Linked DNA regions of Macaca mulatta. The protein of the gene in region 5 purifies or fractionates together with the protein of the main gene of each other region. This does not show direct contact. Links are inferred from orthologs where the notes say so. Each region holds a gene or a part of one and is shown on either strand. Other genes may lie near its edges.

Evidence for each region.
Region 1: the proteins of RRP1B (region 5) and RPL10A purify together in Homo sapiens (affinity purification with mass spectrometry; 3 studies listed by BioGRID and IntAct, with this or other methods). This does not show direct contact. The link is inferred for Macaca mulatta from reciprocal best matches to the Homo sapiens genes RRP1B and RPL10A.
Region 2: the proteins of RRP1B (region 5) and NCL purify together in Homo sapiens (affinity purification with mass spectrometry; 3 studies listed by BioGRID and IntAct, with this or other methods). This does not show direct contact. The link is inferred for Macaca mulatta from reciprocal best matches to the Homo sapiens genes RRP1B and NCL.
Region 3: the proteins of RRP1B (region 5) and DDX21 purify together in Homo sapiens (affinity purification with mass spectrometry; 3 studies listed by BioGRID and IntAct, with this or other methods). This does not show direct contact. The link is inferred for Macaca mulatta from reciprocal best matches to the Homo sapiens genes RRP1B and DDX21.
Region 4: the proteins of RRP1B (region 5) and SRSF6 purify together in Homo sapiens (affinity purification with mass spectrometry; 3 studies listed by BioGRID and IntAct, with this or other methods). This does not show direct contact. The link is inferred for Macaca mulatta from reciprocal best matches to the Homo sapiens genes RRP1B and SRSF6.
Region 6: the proteins of RRP1B (region 5) and SRSF1 purify together in Homo sapiens (co-immunoprecipitation; 3 studies listed by BioGRID and IntAct, with this or other methods). This does not show direct contact. The link is inferred for Macaca mulatta from reciprocal best matches to the Homo sapiens genes RRP1B and SRSF1.
Region 7: the proteins of RRP1B (region 5) and NPM1 purify together in Homo sapiens (co-immunoprecipitation; 3 studies listed by BioGRID and IntAct, with this or other methods). This does not show direct contact. The link is inferred for Macaca mulatta from reciprocal best matches to the Homo sapiens genes RRP1B and NPM1.

Annotation. Positions count from the first base shown.
Region 1 is NC_133409.1:146,806,661-146,810,950, reverse strand, and holds RPL10A (large ribosomal subunit protein uL1), read left to right. Parts: upstream 1-1,490; 5' UTR 1,491-1,521; coding exon 1,522-1,526; intron 1,527-1,885; coding exon 1,886-1,960; intron 1,961-2,040; coding exon 2,041-2,121; intron 2,122-2,474; coding exon 2,475-2,623; intron 2,624-3,539; coding exon 3,540-3,712; intron 3,713-3,942; coding exon 3,943-4,113; 3' UTR 4,114-4,143; downstream 4,144-4,290.
Region 2 is NC_133417.1:136,720,199-136,724,305, reverse strand, and holds the start of NCL (nucleolin), read left to right. Parts: upstream 1-1,307; 5' UTR 1,308-1,448; coding exon 1,449-1,466; exon of another isoform or gene 1,467-1,659; intron 1,660-2,322; coding exon 2,323-2,439; intron 2,440-3,630; coding exon 3,631-4,107. UniProt on the Homo sapiens protein: Nucleolin is the major nucleolar protein of growing eukaryotic cells. It is found associated with intranucleolar chromatin and pre-ribosomal particles. It induces chromatin decondensation by binding to histone H1.
Region 3 is NC_133414.1:80,682,259-80,686,323, reverse strand, and holds the start of DDX21 (nucleolar RNA helicase 2), read left to right. Parts: upstream 1-1,265; 5' UTR 1,266-1,321; coding exon 1,322-1,408; intron 1,409-4,065.
Region 4 is NC_133415.1:96,305,114-96,309,246, forward strand, and holds the start of SRSF6 (serine/arginine-rich splicing factor 6), read left to right. Parts: upstream 1-1,333; 5' UTR 1,334-1,474; coding exon 1,475-1,581; intron 1,582-1,801; coding exon 1,802-1,950; intron 1,951-3,209; coding exon 3,210-3,334; intron 3,335-3,473; coding exon 3,474-3,682; intron 3,683-3,958; coding exon 3,959-4,042; intron 4,043-4,133. UniProt on the Homo sapiens protein: Plays a role in constitutive splicing and modulates the selection of alternative splice sites. Plays a role in the alternative splicing of MAPT/Tau exon 10. Binds to alternative exons of TNC pre-mRNA and promotes the expression of alternatively spliced TNC.
Region 5 is NC_133408.1:3,879,960-3,883,957, reverse strand, and holds the start of RRP1B (ribosomal RNA processing protein 1 homolog B), read left to right. Parts: upstream 1-1,198; 5' UTR 1,199-1,299; coding exon 1,300-1,429; intron 1,430-3,998. Other genes in the region: HSF2BP (heat shock factor 2-binding protein), read right to left, coding at 1,024-1,170. UniProt on the Homo sapiens protein: Positively regulates DNA damage-induced apoptosis by acting as a transcriptional coactivator of proapoptotic target genes of the transcriptional activator E2F1.
Region 6 is NC_133421.1:51,982,380-51,986,360, reverse strand, and holds the start of SRSF1 (serine/arginine-rich splicing factor 1), read right to left. Parts: upstream 2,801-3,981; 5' UTR 2,598-2,800; coding exon 2,404-2,597; intron 1,996-2,403; coding exon 1,811-1,995; intron 1,444-1,810; coding exon 1,271-1,443; intron 1,088-1,270; exon of another isoform or gene 1,071-1,087; coding exon 876-1,070; 3' UTR 511-875; coding exon of another isoform or gene 472-510; 3' UTR 1-471. UniProt on the Homo sapiens protein: Plays a role in preventing exon skipping, ensuring the accuracy of splicing and regulating alternative splicing.
Region 7 is NC_133411.1:180,249,569-180,253,068, forward strand, and holds part of NPM1 (nucleophosmin), read left to right. Parts: intron 1-461; coding exon 462-581; intron 582-1,182; coding exon 1,183-1,276; intron 1,277-2,192; coding exon 2,193-2,299; intron 2,300-2,396; coding exon 2,397-2,461; intron 2,462-3,500. UniProt on the Homo sapiens protein: Involved in diverse cellular processes such as ribosome biogenesis, centrosome duplication, protein chaperoning, histone assembly, cell proliferation, and regulation of tumor suppressors p53/TP53 and ARF.

The DNA.
Region 1 (4,290 bases), on a different chromosome or scaffold from region 5:
AACAGGGCTCAGTAGGGTCAAGCCGACCCAGAGTGGACATGGGATGCTCCAGGAGGTCTAGGGTACCAGTGTGCTCAGATGAAGCTCTTGTGCTCGTGTATGTTATGACCTTCTGTGCTTTTGTTTCTGACTTGAATTTATCAATGGTATTGAATAAAAAGCAAGTTCAATAATGTCTTTTTCTTTTTTTTTTTTTTGAGGCAGAGTCTCACTCTGTCACCAGGCTGGAGTGCAGTGGCGTGACCTCGGCTCACTGCAACCTCCACCTCCCCAGTTCAAGCGATTCTCCTGCCTTGGCCTCCTGAGTAGCTGCGATTACAAGCTCCTGCCACCATACCCTGCTCATTTTTGTATTTTTAGTAGAGACGGGGTTTCACCACATTGGCCAGGCTGGTCTCAAACTCTTGACTTCAGGTGATCCGCCTGCCTCCCAAAGTGCTGGGATTACAGGCGTGAGCCAGCACGCCTGACTAATGTCTTATTAGAAGCAGTACTTTCCTTCCTGTGAATTCTGGGTATTGAACCCATCCCCACCCCCTCCACCTCCCTGCTCAGTGACAAGGAACATATTTTTCCTGGTGAGGGGAAGGGTGAAGGGTATCTTACTCACTTTCTAAGGGCCAAATAATGTGTAATACCACTCACCCTATCCTACAGGAGCTGCCCCCACCAGGCAGGGGGATAGGTGGGAATGAACATAAAGGTGGGAGTGACTCAGTCTGGAGTTAGGGAAGGGTTTTGGGCAGATGAACCCTAGGAGAGATCTGAAGGGCTCTTCGGGTTACAGTGGGCTAAGAGGATGAGACCCACTGGACAGAGGAAAGAGCAGAGAAGACACCTTAATGGGTGTGCTGTGCTGTGTGCCTGTTTTACATCTTTGTATTCCTGTAGCACCTGGCTAGACGCCTTATTCATACTAGTCACACTTAAAACGTAGATGTTATCAAATTATCAAGTAAAAGTTCACTTTAGGACTTTGCCAGCTCTTCCCTCTGCAGGCGCTGAGAGGCCAGGAACAGAACTTTCCGGAAGCTTCCCTTACCACGAGTCCACGTTAGAGCAAGGTGCTGAGGGAGGGAGGTCTGGCCGAGGAACAAGGCTTGCTTTTGAGAACATAAGCTGATGCGGAGGGCGCGAGGGGAAAGGGGTTTGAGGGACAAGCATGTCGGAATCCACGCTGTCAGTGAACATCACTGGGCTGTACCAGTATGTGTGCCTACCGAAGCTCGAGCCCCGAACGCAGCTGCTTCCCTAGGGGCCCAGCAACAGCGGGCGCGAATCGGCACATTACCGGCGGCCGCGGGGCGCTCAGGGCTGCGACAACTCCGTGGGTTCCCGCGCCGGCCTAGCGGCCCAGCGACTCCCAGCGGCCGGAGAAGTCCGCGCTTCTCGGGGTTGGCCCACCCAACCTCTGTGTGGGTAGGACCGAGTAACGACGCATTCTCGCGAGATCGGGCCACTATTAGAGCGCATGCGCAAACTGTACTAGTCTCTTTTCCGGTTAGCGCGGCGTGAGAAGCCATGAGGTAAGTGGTCCTGAAAGCCCTATCTGCGTTCATCCGCGCCTCCAGGTGCCCCGCCAAGGATGCGGCTCCTGCAGACCGAACTGCGGGCCCTTGCGCCACCTTCGCCGCGGGGCATTTCTCAAGGCGGGTCGGCCTGCGGGTCGCCCTTCCTACCAGGTCCGATCACCGAGAGGCTCCCTCTTCCACCGGGGTTTGGGTCTGGGTCTGGGCTCCCGTCGCTCTACTTGGTGTCCGGAATCTACTGGGGAGTCCGCCGTGGGCCGCCCGCCCGTCTCGAAGCTTGGAGCCTCGGAGGCTTCTGAGCAGTCTGAGCGTGTGGACTCCGCGGCCCTGAGCGCGCTGTCGCTTCTCTCACGCAGCAGCAAAGTCTCTCGCGACACCCTGTACGAGGCGGTGCGGGAAGTCCTGCACGGGAACCAGCGCAAGCGCCGCAAGTGAGTGCCGACCCTGGGGCAGGGCGCGGGTGGTGAGGGCCGGCGTGTGCTTAACGCTTAATCCCCCTCCTCTCTCGAAGGTTCCTGGAGACGGTGGAGTTGCAGATCAGCTTGAAGAACTATGACCCCCAGAAGGACAAGCGCTTCTCAGGCACCGTCAGGTTGGCACCGTTCTGATCCCACCCAGCCCTCAGTGCCCCCGTGCCTGCCCCTCCCCTGCAGGCTCCCGCTGAGCCGGAGGCGGGCACGTCGGTACTGATGTGTTAGGGTAGTTCAGACCCCCTGCTCCGGGCAGGCGCGGCTGGACGGACCCCCACCCTGGGTCTTAAAACATGAGGGGAGGCGTGGGGAGGCCTTGGCCGAGCCCGCCGGCCAGCCTGACAAGCCAGGCTGGCTGCTGGTGAATGTGAACGCTCCGGGTAAGGCTCGGTGGCTGCTGCGGTCCCACACCCTTCACCGGCCCTCGGGACCCAGGGCTAGGCATAACCTGTTGGTGCTGTCCCCCAAAACGCAGGCTTAAGTCCACTCCCCGCCCCAAGTTCTCTGTGTGTGTCCTGGGGGACCAGCAGCACTGTGACGAGGCCAAGGCCGTGGATATCCCCCACATGGACATCGAGGCGCTGAAAAAACTCAACAAGAATAAAAAACTGGTCAAGAAACTAGGTGAGTCCGGCCGCTGTGGTTTTGCATGTGAGATGTGGGGTGGAGGCGCTAGAAAGGCTTTCCTGCCATTTCGATTTTTAATGATGAGGGGGCTAGACTAGCAAATGCGGCGGTGGTTGCCTAGCTGGCCTGAGTGCTGTTTTAGCTTTGGGGTGGTTTGATGTTTGTATTTGCTATGAGGATTCCAGTTGATGAGGAAGGCCAAGTATTGTAAGTTGACCCAGCCAGGTGCTGGTGAGGTATGATTTGGAAATCTTATTCTGCGTTGTTTAGGCAGTGGCATTAGACTGCTTTCACAGGTAGGAAGCAGACATTGCCAGTTGTCACGTGTCCAGGGTCCACCGCTAAGAAATAGGCACAATTCAAGCCAAGGCAGTCTTTTTTTTAGTTATTTTTTGAGACGGGCTGGTGCGATCTCGGCTCACTGCAAGCTCCGCCTCCCGGGTTCACACCATTCTCCCTCCTCAGCCTCCCGAGTAGCTAGGACTACAGGCACCTGCCACTACACCTGGCTAATTTTTTTTTTGTAGTTTTAGTAGAGACGGGGTTTCACCGTGTTAGCCAGGATGGTCTCAATCTCCTGACCTCGTGATCCACCCAAAGTGCTGGGATTACAGGCGTGAGCCACCGCATCCGGCCTGAGCCCTGGCAGTCTTGACTGGGGCATCCGTTGTACAGCGGTTATGCCATGGATCATGGGTCAGCCTGATTTTCTGAGAGCATGTTTTGGGACCAGTGAAGGTCCAGAGGACTTTCTGGAAACCTTTTAGGCGGGGGAAAAGACTGAGGCGGGGGTAGAGAGGGTGCTGCTTGGATGTCACGTGGTTGATACAAGTGCGTTTCTGGCCTGCCACATTTGAGGTGTGCCTTGGTGACCAGGTCCTAAGCAATGCCAATGGCTTCCTGTCTTTACCAGCCAAGAAGTATGATGCGTTTTTGGCCTCAGAGTCTCTGATCAAGCAGATTCCACGAATCCTCGGCCCAGGCCTAAATAAGGCAGGAAAGTTCCCTTCCCTGCTCACACACAACGAAAACATGGTGGCCAAAGTGGATGAGGTGAAGTCCACAATCAAGTTCCAAATGAAGAAGGTGAGGGGGTCTGGTGGGTTGCTGTGGGTGAAGGTGTTGGCGGGGTCTAAAACTTACCCAAGTCTCTAAATATGCCAGTGAGAGCACCCACCAGGATTGAAATTTTTGGAGTAACCCTGGTCCTTCCTTGGCCCGGGTCCAAGTACCTGCTCACTAGGCCAGTGAGGGAGGGACAGGCCATTTGCCATTCCTCCACCAACCTGACTTGATCCTCTCTTCTGTCCTCCCAGGTGTTATGTCTGGCTGTAGCTGTTGGTCACGTGAAGATGACAGACGATGAGCTTGTGTATAACATTCACCTGGCTGTCAACTTCTTGGTGTCATTGCTCAAGAAAAACTGGCAGAATGTCCGGGCCTTATATATCAAGAGCACCATGGGCAAGCCCCAGCGCCTATATTAAGGCACATTTGAATAAATTCTGTTACCAGTCCCCTCTGTCTGCCTGTGATTGAGGGTGAGGGGTGGTTTGTCAGCTGACAAGTGAGGGCCTTGGCACTGCCATGGCTCGTTGTGTAGTTTGTCATCTTGATGATGGATAGTTGGGTACTACAGGGAAGAGGATGTTTTTCTGCCATCA
Region 2 (4,107 bases), on a different chromosome or scaffold from region 5:
TCCCAAAGTACTGGGATTACAGGCATAAGCCATCGCGCCTGGCCTTAACAAACACTTTTCTTTCTTTCTGAGACGGAGTCTCGCTCTGTCGCCCAGGCTGGAGTGCAGTGGCGCGATGTCGGCTCACTGCAATCCCCGACTCCCCGGTTCATGCGCCTCGGTCTCCCAAAGTGCTGGGACTGCGGGCCTGAGCCACCGCGCCCCGCCTGAGGTGATTTTTAACAAGTACCGCCGTAGCTGCAGGTATCCTGGTTCTGTAGGAACAATGAGGTATGGATGGATCCATACCTGGACCCATGGATTGGATGGATCCCAGGCAGGCCCTGGACGGAGGGAAATGCTCTGGTTTGCTAAGCCCGGCATCGAGGGAGGCCCACCCTCAAAGCTAACCGTGGAAGTCACTCCGGCCTCCTTCGCCCTGCCGCCGGGGAACCCTGCCGGTGGCTCTCGACCTGCTCCCGAGCCATCTGGTGACACTGACTTAGCAGCCACCACCTTAATTGGCGCATTCGACGCAAATAACAACCAGGGAACCTGTGGGCGGTCAAAGGCCCGGCTTTGCGGTCGGCCCGCCCAGGCCCCTCTCCTTGCCCTGTGAGGCCAGAAAGTTACTTCTCCGAGGCCGTTCCCCATGACGAGAAATATCTCCCGCCTGAGGTTCTGTGGGGTAGGGGAGGTTCGTGCATTTCTCACAGAAAAACCTCGCACAGACCCGCGACTGCCTTTAACGGCTCTCAGAAGACTGCCTGCAGCCGGGGGTGTCTCCAGTCCCATGCTCGCGGGCAAGCAGGGCTGAGCTGTGCCTCCGAAAGGGCCAACGGGAACTCCGCGGTCCCTGAACTTCCGGGGCTGGCGGGCTTCTTTCTCCAGGGCCACCGGGAGCGCCGGCGTGAGTGCGTGCCGGGGCCGCGCGCGGGGTCTTTGAGGAACTCCAAGGCTGCCCGAGCCTAGGGAGCCAGCCACATTGGAGATCCCTAGACCGCCCGATTCCACCACCCCCGAAGTCCCCTCACAGCCGGCGCCAAAAACGCCAGTCCCACGGCGCAGGCCGGGACCCGCGCGCCCACGGCCCAATCAGCGCCGGCCTTGCACAAAGCGAGCCCCGCCCCGACGGCACGGCTGCCAGCCCCTCCCCCTCCCGTGGCCGCCTCGGCCCGCCCACTCCCCGCCCCGCGCCGTTCTCGGTTAGAGGCTCGCGATTGGCTCAGGGGGACTGCCGCGAGCTCTGGTTGGTCGGCACGGAGTCACGAGGGCGCCGTCGTCGCCTTTCCACAGGCGATTACTGGGCAGGCTCAGTCTTTCGCCTCAGTCTCGAGCTCTCGCTGGCCTTCGAGTGTACGTGCTCCGGGATCTTCAGCACCCGCGGCCGCCATCGCCGTCGCTTGCCTTCCTCTGGACTCATCTGCGCCACTTCTCCGCTCCACACTCCGCCGCCATAAGCCGCCATCATGGTGAAGCTCGCGAAGGTAAACGGCCTTGAGCGCGAGCGCAGACGTCTAGGCCTGCTCTCCGAGGGGCGAGCGCGGCGGCGCGGGGAGGAGGGCCTGCGCGCAGTCCCGGGCGCGTTCTAGGGCGCCATGCTGCGGGAAGTCTCGCGCGATTAGTGGGGAGGTCTCGCGGCTTCTGGCTAGTTGGTGGCGAGGTGAAGAGCTTCTGCAGGTGCTGGGGGCGGCGAACGCGGCGGGAAAGACGGAGTCACTGAGCGCGGGGAGGGGGCGCTGGGCCCCGGGGTGGGGAGATGAGACCAAACTCCTGCGACGCATACGAGTCGGGACCCGACTCCTGACGCACGTGCCCGGGAGCGCGGCCTGCCACGTGGGCCGCGCCGCGTAGGTCCTGGAATCTCCAGAGGCACCGGTGCCTTGCGCCAGGAAATGGCGGTATCGGCCCTAGTCGGAGTCCTGGCCTGGCAAGCCGACACGTGGTGGGCCCCGGAAGGTGGCTCTGCCGCGTGCCTTTTGCGCCGTGTTTCGGGCACGTGGTGGCCTACCAGGTACCCCCACGTGGCCGCGCCGCCTCTTTAAGGGGCGGGGTTGTCTTGCTGGGAAAAGCATAATGTTCATGAGAAAACCAAGGTAGTTACTTCTTACCTTCGGGCGGGTTTTCTGTTTGTGAAGCCCGGGAGGAAAATTGTGGGCGGTTGAGAGTAGTCCATCTTGCATTGCCATCAGGACTCGTTTTGATGTTGTGCTGTTTGGCACTATGAGAAATGGATCTGAGAAAGGAGAGATGATGGCGTTTTACTATGAACAGTAATGGCAAAATATGAATGGCCTGAAATGTTGAGGTGGAGGTGTAATGACCTACTTGTGTCCATTTTAGGCAGGTAAAAATCAAGGTGACCCCAAGAAAATGGCTCCTCCTCCAAAGGAGGTAGAAGAAGATAGTGAAGATGAAGAAATGTCAGAAGATGAAGAAGATGATAGCAGTGGAGAAGAGGTAATTTTATCTAGCTTAATGCAGAATTGTGTTAAAACTACAACAATGGAGAGTTAAGACATGAAATTGGATGTCTGTGGCTAAAATAAGATTTTATTCATCCAGGTATGTCCTATTGTAGTGGTGGTTTCACAAGCTCTTCACTGACATGTCAAGGTGTCATTTGGCTAAGTATTTGAATGTGAGTTTGAGACAAGAGGTCTGGGGATCTCCTTTCCATGTGCCTCTGCAGGGCAAGGAGTGTGATTTGTTGTGTTAAATCATTAAATTTTTCCAGTTTCAACATGTTAGCCTCACCCCGACATGTAGAGCTGGGCATTGTATTCAGATCTGAGGATAACCTTCCCAGATTCCTTTCCTAGCCTCCAATTAAGATTAATTGGTCTCCATTCCATTATATATAAACTTTGTAATTCTACTCACTGCGTTATAGTTATCTTTGGTGTAGACTGAGGGCTGCCACCTCTTTGTGTTAACATTGACCCTCTTTACTCTTTGGCAGTCTTGGCCTTTTATTTGCTCACTGTAAAGACATCTGAGCACTGAATTGTGCTCAGGTTTTTCGTTGAGAATTGAATAAAAGTTTTATTCTTCCACACATTGCCTAATAAAACTATGGGATTTTCATGTAGCTAAACGATGGCTTTTATCAAACTAACATGCTCACTCTTTGATGTGTGATAGTTTTGTAAGGGATAGTTAGGTTTAGCCTATTTGATCTTCATTTTATCTCAGGTCCCAAGAATTGAGCTTCACTGGACTCAGTACTGCCATCCACCATAGGAGCCCCAAATGATTTAATACGTTAATGCTTGGAGCCTCCTAGGTGTAAGGTTCTGAATAATTTACGCATAGCACTTCATTATTGTTATACGTGTAATATGATACTATTACCATTTTCAGATGAGAAAGTTGGGGTTTGGGAAAATATGAGGTGCAAGAATTCAGAGGTCTGGTTCAGAGGTATTTTAAGTGTTCAAAAGGGTTCCTTATGGCTGGGTATTCACCTGATAATAAGGGCTCTGACCTAAGACAACATAACAGAAGCCTGGAGTTTAACATGCTAACATGTGTCTAGCGCATGTGGTCTTGAACCAGAAGCATTGGCAGAATCTAACACTCACTGGGACCATGGTTATCTTTTTGGGTGTGGGGCTGGACTTACTGGTTTGGTTTTCATTTATTCTCAAGGTTGTCATACCTCAGAAGAAAGGCAAGAAGGCTGCTGCAACCTCAGCAAAGAAGGTGGTAGTTTCCCCAACAAAAAAGGTTGCAGTTGCCACACCAGCCAAGAAAGCAGCTGTCACTCCAGGCAAAAAGGCAGCAGCAACACCTGCCAAGAAGACAGTTACACCAGCCAAAGCAGTTGCCACACCTGGCAAGAAGGGAGCCACACCAGGCAAAGCATTGGTAGCAACCCCTGGTAAGAAGGGTGCTGCCATCCCAGCCAAGGGGGCAAAGAATGGTAAGAATGCCAAGAAGGAAGACAGTGATGAAGAGGAGGAGGATGACAGTGAGGAAGATGATGAGGATGATGAGGACGAAGATGAGGATGAAGATGAAATTGAACCAGCAGTGATGAAAGCAGCAGCTGCTGCCCCTGCCTCAGAGGATGAGGATGATGAGGATGATGAAGATGATGAGGATGAGGATGATGACGATGAGGAA
Region 3 (4,065 bases), on a different chromosome or scaffold from region 5:
TGCAGTGAGCCCAGGTCGCGCCATGGCACTCTCTAGCCTGGGTGACAGAGAAGGAGACTCTTGTCTCAAACCACAAGACTTCTCTCTCTCCCGCTAGTCTATAAAGCTTCTTGAGGATAAGGCTTTTGTGTCTGCTAGTGAATCCTAGCCCTGTTTGTCCTACCTGACACAGTGAACGCTCATAAAATGTTTGAGTGCACGCATGAATGACCGACTAGAACCGACTGAATTTTTTTTTCCTTCAGGCTCCTGAGTCTGGCCGACACTTTCAGAGTAGACGTTTCCAAGAGATGATTAAGAATACACATCCGCAGGCCGGGCGCGGTGGCTCAAGCCTGTAATCCCAGCACTTTGGGAGGCCGAGGCGGGCGGATCACAAGGTCAGGAGATCGAGACCACAGTGAAACCCCGTCTCTACTAAAAATACAAAAAATTAGCCGGGCGCGGTGGCGGGCGCCTGTAGTCCCAGCTACTCAGGAGGCTGAGGCAGGAGAATGGCGGGAACCCGGGAGGCGGAGCTTGCAGTGAGCCGAGATCACGCCACTGCACTCCAGCCTGGGCAACAGCGTGAGACTCCGTCTCAAAAAAAAAAAAAAAAAAAAGAATACACATCCGCGCCGGGCGCGGTGGCTCACGCCTGTAATCCCAGCACTTTGGGAGGCAGAGGCGGGCGGATCACAAGGTCAGGAGATCGAGACCACGGTGAAACCCCGTCTCTACTAAAAATACAAAAAAAATTAGCCGGGCGCGGTTGTGGGCGCCTGTAGTCCCAGCTACTCGGGAGGCTGAGGCAGGAGAATGGCGTGAACCCGGGAGGCGGAGCTTGCAGTGAGCCGAGATCGCGCCACTGCACTCCAGCCTGGGCGACAGAGCGAGACTCCGTCTCAAAAAAAAAAAAAAAAAAAATACACATCCGCGAGTCTGCACGTGCAAACTCGAACAATATAACATAAAGCACTGAAGATGCTCCACTCAAAAGCAACTAGAAGCCTTCATTTTTCAGGCTGGGGCTAGGGAAAATCTGGCCAGTGTTGGAGAATACAAAGCTAACCTTTGTAATTCCTTGCGGTTTTACCGTTCCATAGGTGCCTTCTAGACCAAAGGCCGCCAGTGGTCAGTCAATGCACTAAATTTAGCCACAGTCACAGGCCGTTGCTTTGAATTTACTTCGCGGAGAGCAGTCTTTCCTGTGCTTCCTGCTTTCCCCGGAAGTGCCTTGCTACGGGAAGTGACGAGAGCCGGGTGGACAGAGGAGGGGGAACTACCTCTTCCTCTCCACGCGGTTGAGAAGACTGGTTGACCTGGGCAGCCTGCGCTGAAGATGCCGGGAAAACTCCGTAGTGACGCTGGTTTGGAATCAGACACCGCAATGAAAAAAGGGGAGACACTGCGAAAACAAACCGAGAAGGTGAAACGGAGGGACCTGGGGCCAGGAGGGACGCTGAGTGGAGCGGAACCCCGGGGTGCGGGAGAGGTGCCCGGGCTGGGATCGTGAGAGCGCGCGGCGGGTAACAGCGCGTCCAGAGACCCGGCGTGGGTCTTGACGGGCGGTCGTCCAGCAGTGGTGCGCTCCCAGGCAGTGGATGCGTCTGCCCGACCAAGCCGGGGCCGCCGCGCGCTGACCTCTTCCTCTGAGATTAGAGGCATCCACATTGTTCCAGGAACTCTGGTAGAGAGGCCCTATTGGAGCTCGGGAGAAGGCCGGGTGTCCCACGTGGTCCCCGGCGACTGGGCGCGCCTCACACAGTGCGCAGAGTTGGACATTCAGTCAGGCTCCACGTTGCTGGCTGAGACATAACTCCCGGCTTGAGCGTGCGCGAAGGGAATTACAAGTCAAGTCAAAGTGGGGACTGGAGGCAGGGTGCGGTGGCTCATGCCTGTAATTCCAACACTTTGGGAGGCCGAGGCGGGCGGATCATGAGGTCAGGAGTTCGAGACCAGGCTGGCCAACATAGTGAAACCCCGTCTCGACTAAAAATACAAAAATTAGCCGGGCATGGTGGCTCACGCCAGTAGTCCCAGCTACGCGGGAGGCTGAGGCCGGAGAATTGCGTGAACCCGGGAAGCGGAGGTTGTGGTGAGCCGAGATCGCGCCACTGCAAGTCAACCTGGGCAACAGCGAAACTCCGTCTCAAAAAAAAAAAGTGGGGACTGGAGCTTTAGAGTAGACTGGAGATACCTTAACCTCATCTGCGCACGTGGGCGGCGTCTTTAGTGACTTTTTAAACTCTAGTAAGGGAAGTACAGTTTGTTTTCCGGTAAGCCGCCCTGAGAAGATGACGTAACTCAGTTCTTCTTAGTATTATATTGACTAGATTTCCCATGGAAATGTAAAGGCATGTGTTGCGGTGCTGAGTGTACACCATGTTTTTTTATATAGGCCAGCAGTGTGCAGTAGTCTTAACCTTGACAGCCGTCCCTTGCTTTGCTGTTGCTTCCTAGTGATTTAACTTGTGACTGAGTCTCTGTTCTGAGATAAGTCAGTGGGAAGAAAGATTGTTCTTGGACTTAGGTTGTACACTACTTAGAATGAACTTTACTTGTTTGTTTCCCTGCCTTTTGATATGGAGCTCTTACAATAGCAATATTTTAGAATCGTAGGAAGCCGCGGCAGATTTGTACTCAGGTGCAAGAAGTAGTGGTCCTGGTTTACATCGCATCAGTCAGTTGCTTTCAATTTGGCATGCTCAAATCCAGAGATACATGACCAAACTCTGTTATATTCCAAAAGAGACCACCAGGATGGGAAACTTGGTCTTATTTGGTGGAACCAAGGGATGAAAACGAATAAAATTTTGGAAGGAGACTAGCTTGTTTTTTGTTGGCAAGGAGATTATTTTTAATCTATGATTTGAGAACAGAGACCAGGCCTGACGTTTCCAGGAGGCAGAATTCAGTGTAATATGTATTTCCAAGATTGTTCTGGGGCTCTGCCAGAATAGGTTTCTAAGGAGGCTACAACATGTGTCTAATTGCTTTAAATAGTATGAAAAGTTGTAGGGGGTCAGAAAGTTCAAATAGGAGCCACAGTCATCTGTCTTACTTGGTTCTGAGGTGTCACTCCTTCCATATTCTTGTAACTTATTTATTTTATTTTAAATTAAGTACATCTTTTTTACACAAGGGTGATAGACTGAGTTTTTATAACTTTTTGTTTCATAAAGTGTCTCTTTTATTTTATTTATTATTTGTTATTTTTTTTTGAGATCGAATTTTGCTTTCGTTGCCCAGGCTTGTTCTCCATTGGTCAGGCTGGTCTTAAACTCCCAACCTCAGGTGATCCGATCGCCCACCTCGGCCTCCCAAAGTGCTGGGATTATAGGCATGAGCCACCGCGTCCTGCCCTTTTATTTTTTGTAGAGACAGTCTTACTGTCACCCAAACTAGAGTGCAGTGGCATGATTATAGCTAACTGCAGCCTTGAATTCCAGGGCTCAAGCAATCCTCCCACCTCAGCCTTCTAAGTAGCTAGGAGTATAGGTGTGTGCCGCTACGTCTGGCTAATTTAAATTTTTTTTTTTTTTTTTTGAGACAGTCTTGCTGTGTCGCCCAGGCTGGAGTGCAGTGGCGCGATCTCAGCTCACTGCAACCCCTGCCTCCCGGGTTCAAGCAACTCTCCTGCCTCAGCCTCCCAAGTAGCTGGGACTACAGGTGCATGACCATGCGTGGCTAATTTTTTTTGTATTTTTAATAGAGACGAGATTTCACTGTATTAAGCCAGGGTGGTCTCCTCCTGACCTTGTGATTCGCCCTCATTGGCCTCCCAAAGTCCTGAGATTACAGGCGTGAGCCACCATGCCCAGCCTAATTTTTAAAGTTTTTCAATAGAGAAAGGGTCTTGCTATATTGCCCATGCTTGCCTGTAACTGCTGGCCTCAAACAATCCTCATGCCTTGGCCTCCCAGAGTGCTGGGATTACAGGCATGAACCACTGCACCTGGCCCTAAACTGTCTTTATATAAATTAATTTGCTCTTGTGAGATAGGCAAAGTGCAGAATTCCTGTTTTGGAGTTAAAGGCTGCAGTGAGCTATGATGATGCCTCTGTACCACAACCTGGGTGAAA
Region 4 (4,133 bases), on a different chromosome or scaffold from region 5:
AGTGGCATGGTGGTAGCTCACTGCAGCCTTCAACTCCTGGGCTCAAGAGATCCTCTTGCTTCGGCTTCCCAAGGTGTGGGGATTACAGACTCGTATTTTTTGTTTATCTAACTTTAAGCATGGCCTCTACCTCCCCCAGTCGTGACAACAACAACGTTTCCCTCCAGACTTCCAAATAGCTCCAGGAGGACAAAACCCCCCTTTTTCAACCGGGAGCTGAAGGATATTCAGGTTGCACCACTCAGAGCAGGTATACAAAAATATCTAAAGAGCTGATGTTATCTCAGTGATATCCCTTCCCTTTTTTTTTTTTTTTTTCGCTTCGGTGACACCCTACTCTCCTGGTCTTCTCCCTACCTCCCTAGTCACTCCTTCCCGTCAGTCTCCTTTCCTGTACTTAAATTTCAGAGTACCCCAGGCGTTGGCCTGGGTCTTCTGCTCCCCACCTAAACTTAAACCACAGGTTTTCATCTGGTTCTCCAGCTTTAAATAGCATCTCCCTTGATAAACTCACAAAATAAGGCACTTTCAAGTCAATGGAAGAAATGATAGTATTGGGACAAAGGACTTTCTATATACGGGAGAAAAAAAATTGTTCATCGCTGTAGGAGGGCTGCGGGGTCTCCTCCGCGCTCCCTTTTGAGCACCTACAGTGAGCGTAGGATTCCCACGGACACCCCAATCCACAAGTGAGTCAAGTTGACAGGGCTCCAAGAAAGACCCATGGAGGGAGAGGGGAACGTCCGGGGAGGCCAAGACTGAAGAAGGCTGCGAGTGAGACTTGGAGAAGCTGATGGCGGCTCTGCAAGTTCGCAACGCGACCCCCGCCCGGTCAGCAAGACCTCAGCGCGTGATCCTCGGATTCTGCGAAACCGGACCAGCGACTGGGTCCGAGAGCGCGGTCCCCACCAAAACGAGCACCAACCAATCGCTGGGGGAAACAGGCAGCCTCGTTTTAACCCACCAATCAGAGACCGCGGCGACCCATTATAACCACCTCGAGAACCAATGAAAAACGGGGATTCTCTCAGCCCGCCTCCCGAGCTTCAACCCCAAAGAGATCGATCGCGCAGTTTTATAAAAGGTACAAATTAGAAAACAATTCTGCGGCTGCATTAGAGACACTGTGTTTTCAAAGACGGTGGGGAGGGCTGGAGAAAAATCCTAGAAGCGAGCAAGACCGCACTACACCGAAACGTCGCGGGCAGCTGACTCGCCAGTCACCATTTAGCCCAGGGCCGACTGGGGACGGACGTGCCGCTGCGCGCTGACGTCACGCGCCAGGCCCCGCCCCACTGGCCGCCCATATAGCGTAAGCCTGGCGCGCGCGCGCATCATTGTGTGGCTGGACTCGGCCGCCGCTGTGGTGTGAGGCGCGTGTTCGGGCTCTTGCCGTCCCCGCACCCGCACCGCGGCTACTGGCTTGCGGTCCGCCGTTCGACAACCAGCCCTTGGGCCCCCGCCCGCCACGGACATGCCGCGCGTCTACATAGGACGCCTGAGCTACAACGTCCGGGAGAAGGACATCCAGCGCTTTTTCAGTGGCTATGGCCGCCTCCTCGAAGTAGACCTCAAAAATGGGTGAGTCGAGCCTGGGCGCCCGCGCCCAGCGTCCCAGGCCTGGTGGCGGCGGGAACTCTCCAAGGAAAAAGGCGGCCAAGGCCGCGGCGCCGCGTGGCAGGGCCTCCAAGATGGCGACGGCGCGGCGTCGCGGGGGCGCGCTGAGGGGTGCGGGCGCGCGCACGGGCGCGCCCTGGCTAACGACGCCCCCGCCGTTGTCCGGCCCTGGCACCGCCCCCAGGTACGGCTTCGTGGAGTTCGAGGACTCCCGCGACGCCGACGACGCCGTTTACGAGCTGAACGGCAAGGAGCTCTGCGGCGAGCGCGTGATCGTAGAGCACGCCAGGGGCCCGCGTCGCGATCGCGACGGCTACAGCTACGGAAGCCGCAGTGAGTCCCACCCCCGCGCGCTCCGCGCCCTTGGGGACCCTGGGGGCGGGCGGGGGTGGGTGGGTTGGGGCCTCCCAGCCCGGGCAGGCGCGAGGGCTGGGGGTCGTTTGACTCGGGTGTCCCCGAGCCCCGCTGCCTTCATGTCTGCCCGGGGCAGCCATGGGACGCCGGAGCGCGGGGATTGGGTTTGGGTGTTTGGTTTTATTTGCGAAGTTGGGCGGGGGGTGGCTTCTTCTGGCCCCTTGTCAGCACTGTCACAGGTTCTAACCACAGAGGAAGTAAGGAGTGGCTGTATTTGTTGTATTCTCCTTACTTACCTATCAGTGCATTAGTTAGAGGTTCGGGGGCAGGCTGGGGTGGAGGTGGGGTAGGGGGGCGGGGGACGGGGAAGGGAGGAGCTTAAAGTATAGGTCTTAAAGTTATGGAACTTGATGGGGGCCGAAGAATGTACTATTTTTAAGTAATGTGGTATTGTACCACAAAGTAGATCTAAATAAGCTTTATGCTGTATTTGAACTAACTGGGGCATGTTACTGGGAGGAGGTTGGGGGGATTTTTGGTTATGTTAAATGTTTGATGTTTAAATTGTTGCATGTTGAATTCAAACTTTTTAACAAGTCCTTGATGTTTCAATTTGAAAGTGACCAATGGGGCTGAGGCTGTGTCCACTGAGGCTAAGATGACTGCCTTTCCTGATTGGCCTTGGCTTTTCCATACATTGTGTGACCCTTGCCCTATGACCCTTTGGCTGACCTTACCGGAAGCCATGACGACAGCAGCCTTTTGCCATTAGACGCAGGGTGATGGTGAGGATTCCAAGGGTTAGACAAAACTGGTTAATCTGAACTAGGTGACTGTTACCTTGCGTGTTTTGTGGCCAAACCACCACCAAAAACCTCACACTGTGATGTAAGTACTTAGTGTAAAACTAGTAAACATTTTTGTAAAATGTAGAAATGCATGTAATCAGTTAAGTTTTATATTTTACAATGTTCTGTAAAATAAAACTTAGCGAGGTAAATCGAATAAAGGAGCAGTCACTCTCTAACAGATTGTAGGAGAGGTTTAGTTGGATTTAGTCTATTTGACTTGCCCTTAATTTAATTTTATGGCAAATCACAAATGTGTCGAAGGTTTAGCAATATAATAGCAAAGTCCTACTCCAGTAAATAAAAGTTGATATGTTTGTACTAACTTTCAAAGACATTATGCGTTTTTATCATTACAAGGCATCTAATTGTTCCCTTCATGTGATAAAGGTGGTGGAGGTGGATACAGCAGTCGGAGAACATCTGGCAGAGACAAATACGGACCACCTGTTCGTACAGAATACAGGCTTATTGTAGAAAATCTTTCTAGTCGGTGCAGTTGGCAAGATTTAAAGGTATGTGCTATAATTCAAGATACAAAAGATACGACTAATGCTTTAAAGTAAACTCTTATTTACATTCTTATTTCTGGGAATTTATTATAGTATATAGATCTTTTAAGATTTCCGAGTCTGACCAATCTTATCATTTCAGGATTTTATGCGACAAGCAGGTGAAGTAACCTATGCGGATGCCCACAAGGAACGAACAAATGAGGGTGTAATTGAGTTTCGCTCCTACTCTGACATGAAGCGTGCTTTGGACAAACTGGATGGCACAGAAATAAATGGCAGAAATATTAGGCTTATTGAAGATAAGCCACGCACAAGCCATAGGCGATCTTACTCTGGAAGCAGATCCAGGTAACTTGTTGAAGGACACTGTGGGGAGGAAACAGAATATTTGACAATAAAAAAGGGAAGTAATGGAGTAATTTCAATTGTTGCCTACTTGAATTAAAGCCAGCTTTTAGTTTGTTTTGGCTGTGCATCATTGGGTTTTTTTCTGGATGTTTTGAAGGTGTATTTAATTTCGTAGTAAAGAAAAACATTATTCTTTGGCTTATCTATTTTTGCCAGATGGCACAGGTGTATTTAAGATGGATTGAGATTAAGACTTCATTGTTTTTCTCCTAATAGGTCTCGATCTAGAAGACGGTCACGAAGTAGGAGTCGCAGGAGCAGCCGCAGTAGATCTCGAAGTATCTCAAAAAGTCGCTCCCGGTAAATAATGTTGTGTTGAGTCATTGTGAATATTACTGTACTTGTTTATGGAGTACGTGTATGTTCTTACAAAGTATTGAGAGAATCGGTC
Region 5 (3,998 bases):
AAGTAAAATAAATCGGATGAGTCCTTTCCTGTTTGGCGAGGAATGCTACACTATGGGGGACTGTTTCAAACTGGCAGTCTTTGCTGGAAACCTCGCCTCCGCGGTTCGCCTTCCTTCGCTCGGATTCAGGCGCTTTTATGTTAAGGGTTGAATTTTTGTGTCAACAGGCACCTCGGGAGGTCGCCCACATAACTGAGCGGAGCAACTGAGATAACCCCCCGCTACGTGTGGAGTGACCTAGTCCATTAGCTTGCCCCGGCACGCCCGCTGAGTCCGCAAAATATAGGATGTTCTTGGGTTTTAGATGAACCCAAAGCTAAGATTTCTTCCCTCTCTGGAGTTAGCAAGCAGCCCGCCCTGCCCAACTCCCCTGGAAGCGCGCGTGCTCTCCAGGCTTCGGGACGCCGGCGCGGGTGCCCCAGCACTGGCACTAGGGCTCCAGAGTAAGGGGCGCGCCGACCTGCCCGAGCCTCTGCAGGCGCTGGCGGAAGGTGAGCCCTTCACCCGCTCAACAGGCCCCAGTGCCGGCCTTTCCTTCCAGTCTTAACTCCACCCGGGGACCCGGGGGCTCCACAGTTAAAAACTCCGTGCCACGGAGATCGCAGGTGAGCTGCTGGCTCAACGGGGTGTGCTAAATGGGATTAAAGATCCTAGACTGTGGCCAGGCGCGGTGGTTCAATCCCTTAATCCCAGTGCTCAGGGAGGCCGAGGCGGGAGGATTGCTTAAGCCCAGGAGTTTGAGACCAGCCTGGACAACATAGCGAGACCCCATCTCTACAAAAATAAAAAGTAGTGGGGCGTGATAGCGCGCGCCTGTAGTCTCAGCTACTTGGGTGGTCGACATGGGAGGATCGCTTGAGTCTGGGTGGTCGAGGCTGCAGTGAGCCAAGATCACCGCCAAGATCGCGCCCCTGCACTCCAGCCTGGGCGACAGAGGGAGACCCTGTCTCAAAAACAAAAAATCCTAGACCGTTTACAAACAGCCGTCCGTCTCTTCCTGGCCAAGTCCTAACCCTGGCTAACCTCGCCGTGTACAGCCTGAATTTTGGCAACCGAAAGGCAGAGCCGGCGCCACTCGCACAAGAGATGGGCCGCTCCGCCCGCTGCCAGGGCCACGGCCGCGCTCACTCCCAGAGCGCGCTGCGAGCCGCGGCGCCTTTGTGACGCCATCAACCCGCGCGCCGTCGCCGCCTTCTGTGCAGTCGAGGCCCTGGCGGACGGCTGCTGGCTGCTCCGCGGCGCTCGGCTGGCGGCAGCTGCACCGCGGGTTGCGCGGCCGGGGATGCTCCAGCGGGCGCGATGGCCCCCGCCATGCAGCCGGCCGAGATCCAGTTTGCCCAGCGGCTGGCGTCCAGCGAGAAGGGCATTCGGGACCGGGCGGTGAAGAAGCTGCGCCAGTACATCAGCGTGAAGACGCAGAGGGAGACAGGTGGGCGCACGGCGGCGGTCAGCCGCGCCACATGGCGGGCCGGGGGCCGGGGCTGGGGCCAGGGCCCTGGCACGGAACGCGGCTTCCACGTGTTGTCGTGACACCCAGCGTGTGCTTAGGTTTCCGCGCTGCCAGAACCGCTTCTTGCTGTGTCTAGTGCCTTTTTACACTTGAGGAAACGGGTTGAGGGTGTTCCGTTACTTGTGAAAGTCACAGTAAGCGGGAAAGCTGAGAAAAGACCCACATGGGTCCGATTCCCCAGCCGGCATCTCGAATCACTGGGCTGCCCTCATTTGCCCTGGTGTCCGGTCGGTGATTGCCGCCTTTCTTTGACCAGCACCTTTACGTGCCGGGGCTGGAGGAGAGAAGACAGAAGCACTACTCTCGAGGATTTGTTAGTAATAAAGCAAGGAGGCAAACAGGCAAATAAAGTAGACCTTGTGTAAGTGTAGTAAAGGAAATGAAAACCAGGTAGTAGGCCGGGCGCGGTGTCTCACGCATGTAATCCCAGCACTTTGGGAAGCCGAGGCGGGCGGATGACCGGAGGTCGGGAGTTCGAGACCAGCCTGGCCAATCCAACATGGTGAAACCCCGACTCTACTAAAAATACAAAATTAGCCGGGCATGGTGGCGCATGCCTGTAATCTCAGTACTCGAGAGGCTGAGGCAGGAGAATCGCTTGAACCTGGGAGGCGGACGTTGCGGTGAGCCGAGATCGCACGATTGCACTCCAACCTGGGCAACAAGAGCGAAACTACGTCTCAAAAAAAGAAAGAAAGAGAGAAAGAAAGAAAACCAGGTAATAGCAAGAAGTGAAGGAGGTTGCTCTTCTTGATAGACTGTTCTGGGAAGGCCTCTCGGGTGATGTTCAGCTGAAATCTGAAGAGAGATGAGCGGAAAGCGCCTATGCAGAGGCAGGAAAGAGCTTCACGTGCCCTAGGAGTGGTTTGAAAGACCAATTAAGTTGTGGGTGGGCGGGGAGAGTGTGATGAGATGAAGTTGGAGATTGTAGGCAGTGGCCAGATCACACAGGGCTTTGTAGTGTAGATTTTAACGGCACTGCTGTTGAATGATTTCATTTACCTGATCCAAGAATATTTTCTGTAAACTCTTGAGTGAGCCCATACGATATGAACTACAATGTGTGACAGAGGTTTTAAGATAAAGTTTGATTTAGTTACTGATGGTACTAATACATTTAGAATCTGCTTAAAAGAACAGATATTATCTCCCCCATTACTGACATTCTCAGTTTGTTTTAAGAAAAATCACCAGACTACCCAAAAAAAGAAAATAAACTTTCCTGGGAAGTCTGGTAGAAAAAGGAATGAAGACCAAAATTCCTGACTTTGATTCTGTTAGGGATGTCCCTAAGAGATTTTGTTTACTCTCACAGTTCCAGGTAGTCCATATATGCTGGGGGTTTCTAAACCTAAATTGTTGACCCAGCCCTTTCCTACTTGCAACTGGGATGTGCCTTGCTAGCCTGGCTTCTCTACCTGGCACCTCACACTCAGGATGCCAAAAAACGTCATATTTTCTTTCCCCGAAAGCCTGTTGTCTGCTGCTGCTCCTCTACCACCTGTTTTCTCTTCTTTTGGTTGCTAGTTCCCACCAGCCATTCGGATTCCAGCTGGACGCAGGGGATTGTCCTGGACTCCTCTGTCTTCCTCATCCTCTTCCCCTGGCCCACATCCAGTGTCCCTCAGTCCTCCCTCCTTCGCCTCCTGATGAAATAAATTCTCTGACTGTGGGCCCTTTGCATCTCACCCAAACTTCTGCACCTGCATATTCCCTAACTGGTCTCCTTAACTTCATTTGTGTCCCCCCGAATCTGTCCTCCACAGACCAGCCCAGGGTCATCTTCCTAAAACAAATCTGATCCCACATCACCAATATTTTTTGAAATTCAGTGTCTGCAAGTCATGATCTGTCCTCAGGTGCTCTTCCTCCCTAAGCCCCATGTGACTGCTTCATGTTCTGTCAACAGAACCAGTCATGGATCTTGGTGTATAGCACACAATTTCTCACCTCTCTGCCTTTGCTTCTCCTGTTCACTCTGCAAAGAATCCCACACCTTCTTCACTCCCAGCATTCAGTTCAGTATCACTTCCTTCAAAAAGCCTCCCCTAGCATCTCGCCCTACTCCTCCAGGGTCTAAAACATCCATTGTGTCTCTGTTGTAGCACTTAGCTACATTGCTGCTTAATTATCAATGTGCCATTCTACTCCCAAAACAGTGTAAGCTTCCATCTGTTTTCTTAGCCAGAAGTGGGAGTACATGCAGCCATGAAAGGTCTTGGCCTATACAAAAGTAGAAGACAAGAAGCAATACTTATGGTGCTAAAACAGCCTAGACAGAGCCTTTTGCTCAAACCCTTTGGTGAGCCAGCCCAGGATTTGCAGATGCTGAGGTTACGCAGGGGGCCTAAGACCAGTTTACACCAGTGCTCCAGAGTCCTGTCTGGTTAGTGCCTGTCACACCCAGAGTTTCTTGTCTTGTACGTCTTGTTCACCACCACATGGCATGGAGTACACTGGGCCTTCAAAAAATAACTCTGCAGCGTGA
Region 6 (3,981 bases), on a different chromosome or scaffold from region 5:
ACACAGAGGACATGCAGATTTAGCAGTATTGATATTATACTCTATCTTGTTGGATTTAAAGACACCCTGTACCCACATGTACACCAACAGCAGGTCACACATTAACAGTTGTAACTAAGCACTGTGACAAATTAGCCAGTTCTTCCCACATTAGTCCCTATTAAAACAAAAATGGGGGGAAGGGAGCAAAATAAGTTGCTACAAAATGGGCAATATAATTTTGCCACAATTGCCAAGGTTTAAAGAGCAAAGCAATTGTAGCTAAAGATAACTGAATAAAATGTTTGCAAGTGTTTTAAGGAAAACGTATATAATCATTTTTAACCCCTGCCTTTTAGTATAAGGTCAATACTGCCAATTTCATCTGTGACAATAGCACTTGGAGTCATACCATTGCCTCCATTATTGATCTGATCCTCCTCAATCCTCCTTTTGACAATCCTAAAATGATTGAAATGTGCTCCACAATCCTTAATCCAAAGCATTCTTAATCCATCTCTTCAGATATGTCTACAGAAAGACACATGAAAAGCAAGATAAACATAAGAACTTCCCCAGGTAAGATAACCACAAACACCCCCAACATCCCAGTTCACACAAACCAGGGCAGAATAGACATTTACACAATATCACAGTCTGAAGAGTATGGAGTTAACTAAATTTAAACAATCCTGTCTATGACATCACTTAAAATACAATTTATCGAAGACACGAGGGGAATGTAGATGTTAGGAGCAAGGGGATATTACAAGAATGCAATTCAACACTTTAGCCCATTCTGAACAAAACAGTTTGAATTAAAAAATGAAAAGATTGTACTGAATAAAGGAAAACTGTATACAACATGGGTTCTACAAAAAGTGTCACCAATCATCTTATGTACGAGAGCGAGATCTGCTATGACGGGGAGAATAGCGTGGTGATCCTCTGCTTCTCCTTGGGGAGTAACTGCGACTCCTGCTGTTGCTTCTGCTACGGCTTCTGCTACGACTACGGCTTCGAGATCGAGATCTTCCATAACTTGGACTTCTGGGCCCATCAACTTTAACCCGGATGTAGGCAGTTTCTCCCTATTGGATAGACAGAACTTTCCATTGAAAGATCTAAGCTTTCATCTATCTTCAGGCATGCTGAATGCATACAATGCAACTACAACCAGAAATCTGGCAATTTACTTGGACACCCTTGCCTGAATTCTTACCTTCAAATTCCACTGTTAAGACCACTGTATCCAATTCTGGTCAAAGAAAAGAATAAGCGTATAACCTACCTCATGAGATCTAAACTTAGTGTTATCCAGTTTTCGAACTGCATAGGTCATATCTTCTTTCCGTACAAACTCCACGACACCAGTGCCATCTCGGTAAACATCAGCATAACATACATCACCTGCTTCACGCATGTGATCCTTTAAATCCTGCCAACTTCCACTTGGAGGCAGTCCTGAAAAAGTGATTTTTTTTCTTAGTATCAATTATCTTAAATTTCACGTTAAGCTGGTAAGGTACATTAGAACAAAGAGTACTTTAAAATACTTAATAGGTGTACTTAAGTGATACCAGGTAAAGAGCTGGTAAGATTCTGGGATCCAGAGTCCAAAATTATTTGTAACGGATCTTCGTATCTAGTACCGCAACCTAATTTGGTAAATCACCACAGCAGCAATCCTCGTTTATTAAATTCACCCAAAAACTAAAGCAATTTAAGACCTAGCATGAAAAATTTGCAATTGTTAAACCGATCATGCAAGACAAAAATTTTAGGTAGCTTCCGTCCCTTCACATCAATCCACACAACCAAGTACACTCACCAGAGACAACCACTCTGTTTTCAGACCGCCTGGATGGGGGGCCATAGCGACCTCGGGGAGCTCCGCCACCTCCACCCCCGCCGCCGCCTCGGCCTGTTCCACGGCCGCTTCGAGGAAACTCCACCCGCAGACGGTACCCATCGTAATCATAGCCGTCGCGACCATACACCGCGTCTTCCGCGTCTCTGCGGGATCGCAGAAAGTAAAAGGCATGAGAAAGACCAGGAGGAGAAGCTCGCTCAGTCGGGAACCCCCCGCACATGCGCACCCAACGTGGAAGAGCCCACATGCGCCGCATAATAGGAATGGCCCCTCCCCCACCCAGAAACACGCCAGGCTCCCAACCACTACACCAGCCCTCAGCGCCTCAGTTTCCCGCTCCAGCCTGCGAATGGGCTCCGGGGACGTCCAAGGCGAGGCGCCAGAGAAGCCACACCAACTCAGCTCCTTACTCGACTCCTGCATGGGCGATACAGTCTCGCCCCAACCTCTCTAAGAGCCCCCGCTTCCCCGTTCTCTATGTTAAGGCCTTGGAGCCTTCCCCGACTACTCGGACCTATTTCCTCAAGGCTGCAAGCCCCATGCCGCCTCACCGCGGGTCCTCGAACTCAACGAAGGCGAAGGGCGGTCCCCCGCGGCGATTCTTGAGGTCGATGTCGCGGATAGCGCCGTATTTGTAGAACACGTCCTCAATGTCCTTGGTTCGGATGTCTGGAGGTAAGTTACCCACGTAGATGCGGCAATCGTTGTTCCCTGCGGGGCCACGAATCACACCACCTCCCGACATGGCGGTGACGAAAAGCGCGGACTCGAGAACAGGCCTTCCCACCAAGCCTAGCGCACCGCAGAGCGAGCCCGCAGCGGCACCACGTCTCCCGCGGCCCCTCCAAAATGGCGCCTTTATCAGCTCGGCGCACGGATATGGGGGGGAGACAGAGGAAGAGAAGCGGAAGGAAACAGCGATTCGATCCCAACACGCACGCGCGGGAGCGCAACGGGTGCTGCGAGGGATACGCGCAACGCACGCGCACGCACGCGCGACGTCACCCTCCGCACGAAGGGGGAAAAAAAGTCCCCCGCGTTCCCCGCTTGGGGTGGTTTGCGAATAGAGTGAGCAGCCGTTTGGTAAAAGTTAAATAAAGAACTCTCGTTAAAGGAGCTAGTCATCCAGGTCGAGTCTTGAAGGATAGTCAATTTCCCCAGGAATGAGGAGCTTTGAAAGCAACTCGGCGCCTTCAAAGGACTTGGTGAAACCTAGCCTAAAGCCTTGTCCCACCATGCTCTGCGGCGATAACGGCCTTTGGCGGGAAAGAGACTCGGAGGCGGGGCTAAAGGGGGAGGGCTCGGGCCGTTGCTCCGGAAACCCGGGTATCTTCGTAGAGTGCGTCTAGTCCAGAGCTGAGTTGCCGGTGACTGAATAGAGAGCTGGGGCGTTGGTTTGTCTTCCCGCCCCTGCTGCGAACAAGCTGTGGCTGCTTAGACAGATGTGTCTAATTTAGCGAAACCGGTTTAGATTCCTTAATCCTTTTCATTAAGAACCATTCCACCTTCTCGTCAGAACTTTGCATAGCTCAGTTCAGCACTCTTTGTGCTAGTCGCAGTGGGCCCGTACCCCGACCTTTCAACGTGGTACCCGCCAACCAGAAGGGGTAACAGTACTGCTTCTGGTACCCACACCTCTTTATCTCTTGTTAATCGCCTATCCGTGGGACTAGCGCAGATTGCCTGCAGAATGAATTGTTTCTGTTGTTTCCTTTTAAAGAACGAGAAGGAAGAAAAGGTGCGTGTGTGCAGTCCTTTTTTCAAAAGTTTCCTCTAAAAGTTACTGAAATTGAAAATACCGGTCCTCCCAGGTAATAAAATGGACCGAAATGGATGAGAGCCGTGTCCACTAGAGACCGCGGTTGCTATTCAGGACTGTGATCTTATTTGCCTGCGACATTGGGAGATAACATTTTACATTTTTTTTCGACGTCTGCAATCTGGATTTTTATGTGAAATCCTGGGATTTTTAAACGTCGCTAATGAATTCAAATTAAAATTAGGCTGGGCGCGGTGGCTCACGCCAGCACTTTGGGAGGTAGAGGCGGCAGATCACTTGAGGTCAGGAGTTCGAGACCAGCCTGGCCAACATGGTGAAATCCCGTCTCTACTGAAAAAAAAAAAATTAG
Region 7 (3,500 bases), on a different chromosome or scaffold from region 5:
AGCTGGGATTACAGGCATGTGCCACCATGCCTGGCTAATTTTTGTGTTTTTAGTAGAGACGGGGTTTTACCATGTTGTCCAGGCTGGTCTCAAACTCCTGACCTCATGATCTACCTCAGCCTCCCTAAGTGCCGTGGGATTACAGGCATGAGCCACCACCGCCCTTTCCTATGCTTAGATGCACAAATACTTACTATTGTATTTCAGATGCTTACAGTATTCAGTACAGTAACATACTGTACAGGTTTGTAGCCTAGGTGTGTGTAGTAGGCTATACCATCTAGGTTTGTTAGTATAAGCACATTCTTATGATTGTACCAAGATGAAATTGTCTAACAACACATTTCTCAGAACCTAGCCCTGTGGTTAAGTGACGCATGGCTGCATATAACATTTAGTGGTGGGGGGGTGTAAAATAGGTGGAACTCAAAGTTGAAGTGGTATTTTTTTTTTGTTCACAGGTCAGTTTAGGGGCTGGTGCAAAGGATGAATTGCACATTGTTGAAGCAGAGGCAATGAATTACGAAGGCAGTCCAATTAAAGTAACACTGGCAACTTTGAAAATGTCTGTACAGCCAACGGTAAGGGCACTTGTATACTTTGGATGTTGTGTCAAGGTTTAATTCTGTTTTAAGGTAGGTTTGGTGTCATTTCGTTGTGCCAAAGAGATAGAAAGTGGTTCTTTATCTTCTGTCACTGGAGTTCAATGGTCAGCTCTTGAACATGGGGGTTTCTGCTGCTAGTTTATCAGAGGTGGAAAAAAGGTTCACTGGTTTGTGGTTTTTTTTTTTTTTTTTTTTTGAGATGGAGTCTCGCTGTGTTGCCCGGGCTGGAGTGCAGTGGCCGGATCTCAGCTCACTGCAAGCTCCGCCTCCTGGGTTTTTACACCATTCTCCTGCCTCAGCCTCCCGAGTAGCTGGGACTACAGGCGCCTGCCACCTCGCCCAGCTAGTTTTTTGTATTTTTAGTAGAGACGGGGTTTCACCGTGTTAGCCAGGGTGGTCTCGATCTCCTGACCTCGTGATCCGCCAGTCTCGGCCTCCCAAAGTGCTGGGATTACAGGCTTGAGCCACCGCGCCCGACCAGGTTCACTGGTTTGTTGATTTGGCTTATGTGTTTGCTTGTAATGTTTATTGTACATTTTCTTCATATGTTTAGTGATTAAAAATTTCTTCCTTCTAGGTTTCCCTTGGGGGCTTTGAAATAACACCACCAGTGGTCTTAAGGTTGAAGTGTGGTTCAGGGCCAGTGCATATTAGTGGACAGCACTTAGTAGGTATGTTATTTTTATGTATTATACTACTTAGTTTATTCTTTTTAATGCAGTTGCTTGGTTCCCAGTTTGGACTTAAAGCATGGGTATAGTACTACTGTCTTTAAAATAGATTCCAGTGTGAGTCTAGAAATTTATAATTGGAGAGGACAAATAAATTTTTGGAGTGGGGGGACAAAATCTTGATCTGTCACCCAGGGTAGAGTACAGTGGCACGATCTTGGCTCACTGGAACCTCTCCCTCCGGGATTCAAGGGATCCTCCTGTCTCGGCCTCCCCAGTAGCTGGGACCACAGGCGTGTGCCACCAAGCCTAGTTGTGTTTTATAGTTTTAGTAGAGAAGGGGTTTCGTGAAGTTGGCCAGCCTGATCTTAAACTCCTGGCCTTAACGTGTTCTGCACGCCCTGGCCTCTCAAAGTGCTAGTACTACATGCGTCAGCCACTGTGCCTGGCCTAAAATTTTTTTTTTAATAAAGACAGTCTCATTCTAAGGCTGGAGTGCAGTGATCGTAGCTTGTTACAGCCTTGAACTACTGGGTTCACATCAGCCTCTGGACTAGCTAGAACTACAGGCACACTCCACCACGCCTGGCTAATTTTTTTTGTATATGTGCAGATGGAGTCTCACTGTGTTGCCCAGATTGGTCTCTTGGCTTCAAGTGGTCCACCTTGGCCTCCCCAAAGTGAGATTACAGGCATGAGCCACCCTGCTCAGGCTTCTTGCATTTAAAACCTGGCAGTGAACGTTAGGCCTCAGAATACCTTTGTTAAAAAGTTCCTTTTCCCATTTGCTCTTTTTTTAAAAAAATAGAATAGAAATCTCAGTTTTTAGAATATTTACTGTATGCTATCAGTGTTCTTTTTTTTTCTGATTTCTTTGCTGCTTGAGTTTTATAATGTCTAATAAATTGCATTTTAGCTGTGGAGGAAGATGCAGAGTCAGAAGATGAAGAGGAGGAGGATGTGAAACTCTTAAGTATATCTGGAAAGCGGTCTGCCCCTGGAGGTGGTAGCAAGGTTCCACAGGTAGAGATGGCAATTTTATTATAGGTTTTGTATTACAGATTTTAGTTTGGTGATAGAACAGCTCTTGTTCATGAGTATGTGCCTTTTCTTTTAAAAGAAAAAAGTAAAACTTGCTGCTGATGAAGATGATGATGATGATGATGAAGATGATGATGATGAAGAGTAAGTATGATCTTAGAAATTTGATACACTTCTGAAATCTTAACAGAGAAAAAGGAATTTGACATTGTTATATGCATGAGGATTTTATAAAAGTCATTTATGAAAAGCCATCCTGTGTAATAGTTTATAATAAAAGGGCAAGTGGTCATCTGTTGTCAGTTTAAGTTAAATGAGCTGAATTGAAAGGATATTGGGTCATGAGCCTTTACAGTGCTGTGACTTGGTGACTCTTCAGAAGGGTAGGCTATAGCATTTGCAAAGTTTGATTATGTCCCTTTGTTTTAAAGATTTAGTGGATGTTATACCCATCAAGCCTGGTATGTATTATGGTGAAGTTAATTAGATTGGGTTGAAAGAAAATCTGACTAAAGGCCGGGCGCGGTGGCTCAAGCCTGTAATCCCAGCACTTTGGGAGGCCGAGACGGGCGGATCACGAGGTCAGGAGATCGAGACCATCCTGGCTAACACGGTGAAACCCCGTCTCTACTAAAAATACAAAAAAAATTAGCCGGGCGATGTGGCGGGCGCCTGTACTCCCAGCTACTCGGGAGGCTGAGGCAGGAGAATGGCATGAACCCGGGAGGCGGGGCTTGCAGTGAGCTGAGATCCAGCCACTGCACTCCAGCCTGGGCAACAAAGCCAGACTCCGTCTCAAAAAAAAAAAAAAGAAAAGAAAATCTGACTAAATAGCTCTATATTCATTTTACAAATTGTTACTGAAGGTTTGTTATTCCCCAAAAGGATTTTGGCTTGTGCTTTTATGTAGATACTTAATGGACAAAAATAAGATCCTAAAAGGGATATTAAGATTTTTCTTGGGATTTAAAATATGATTGGAAACATTAATTTTTTTTTATATTAAACTGGATCAAACTTGGTATAAACAGTTACATGCACACTGGTATAAAGTACTGTTTATAATTGGTTTTATGTGTGCAAGTATCAGTAATACATTAAATACTTGGCTCTCAGCTTTGTTCTTCAGTTCTGAGATTGGTCCATATGCATTTATGGAAAACACATTAAATAAAATATAAGA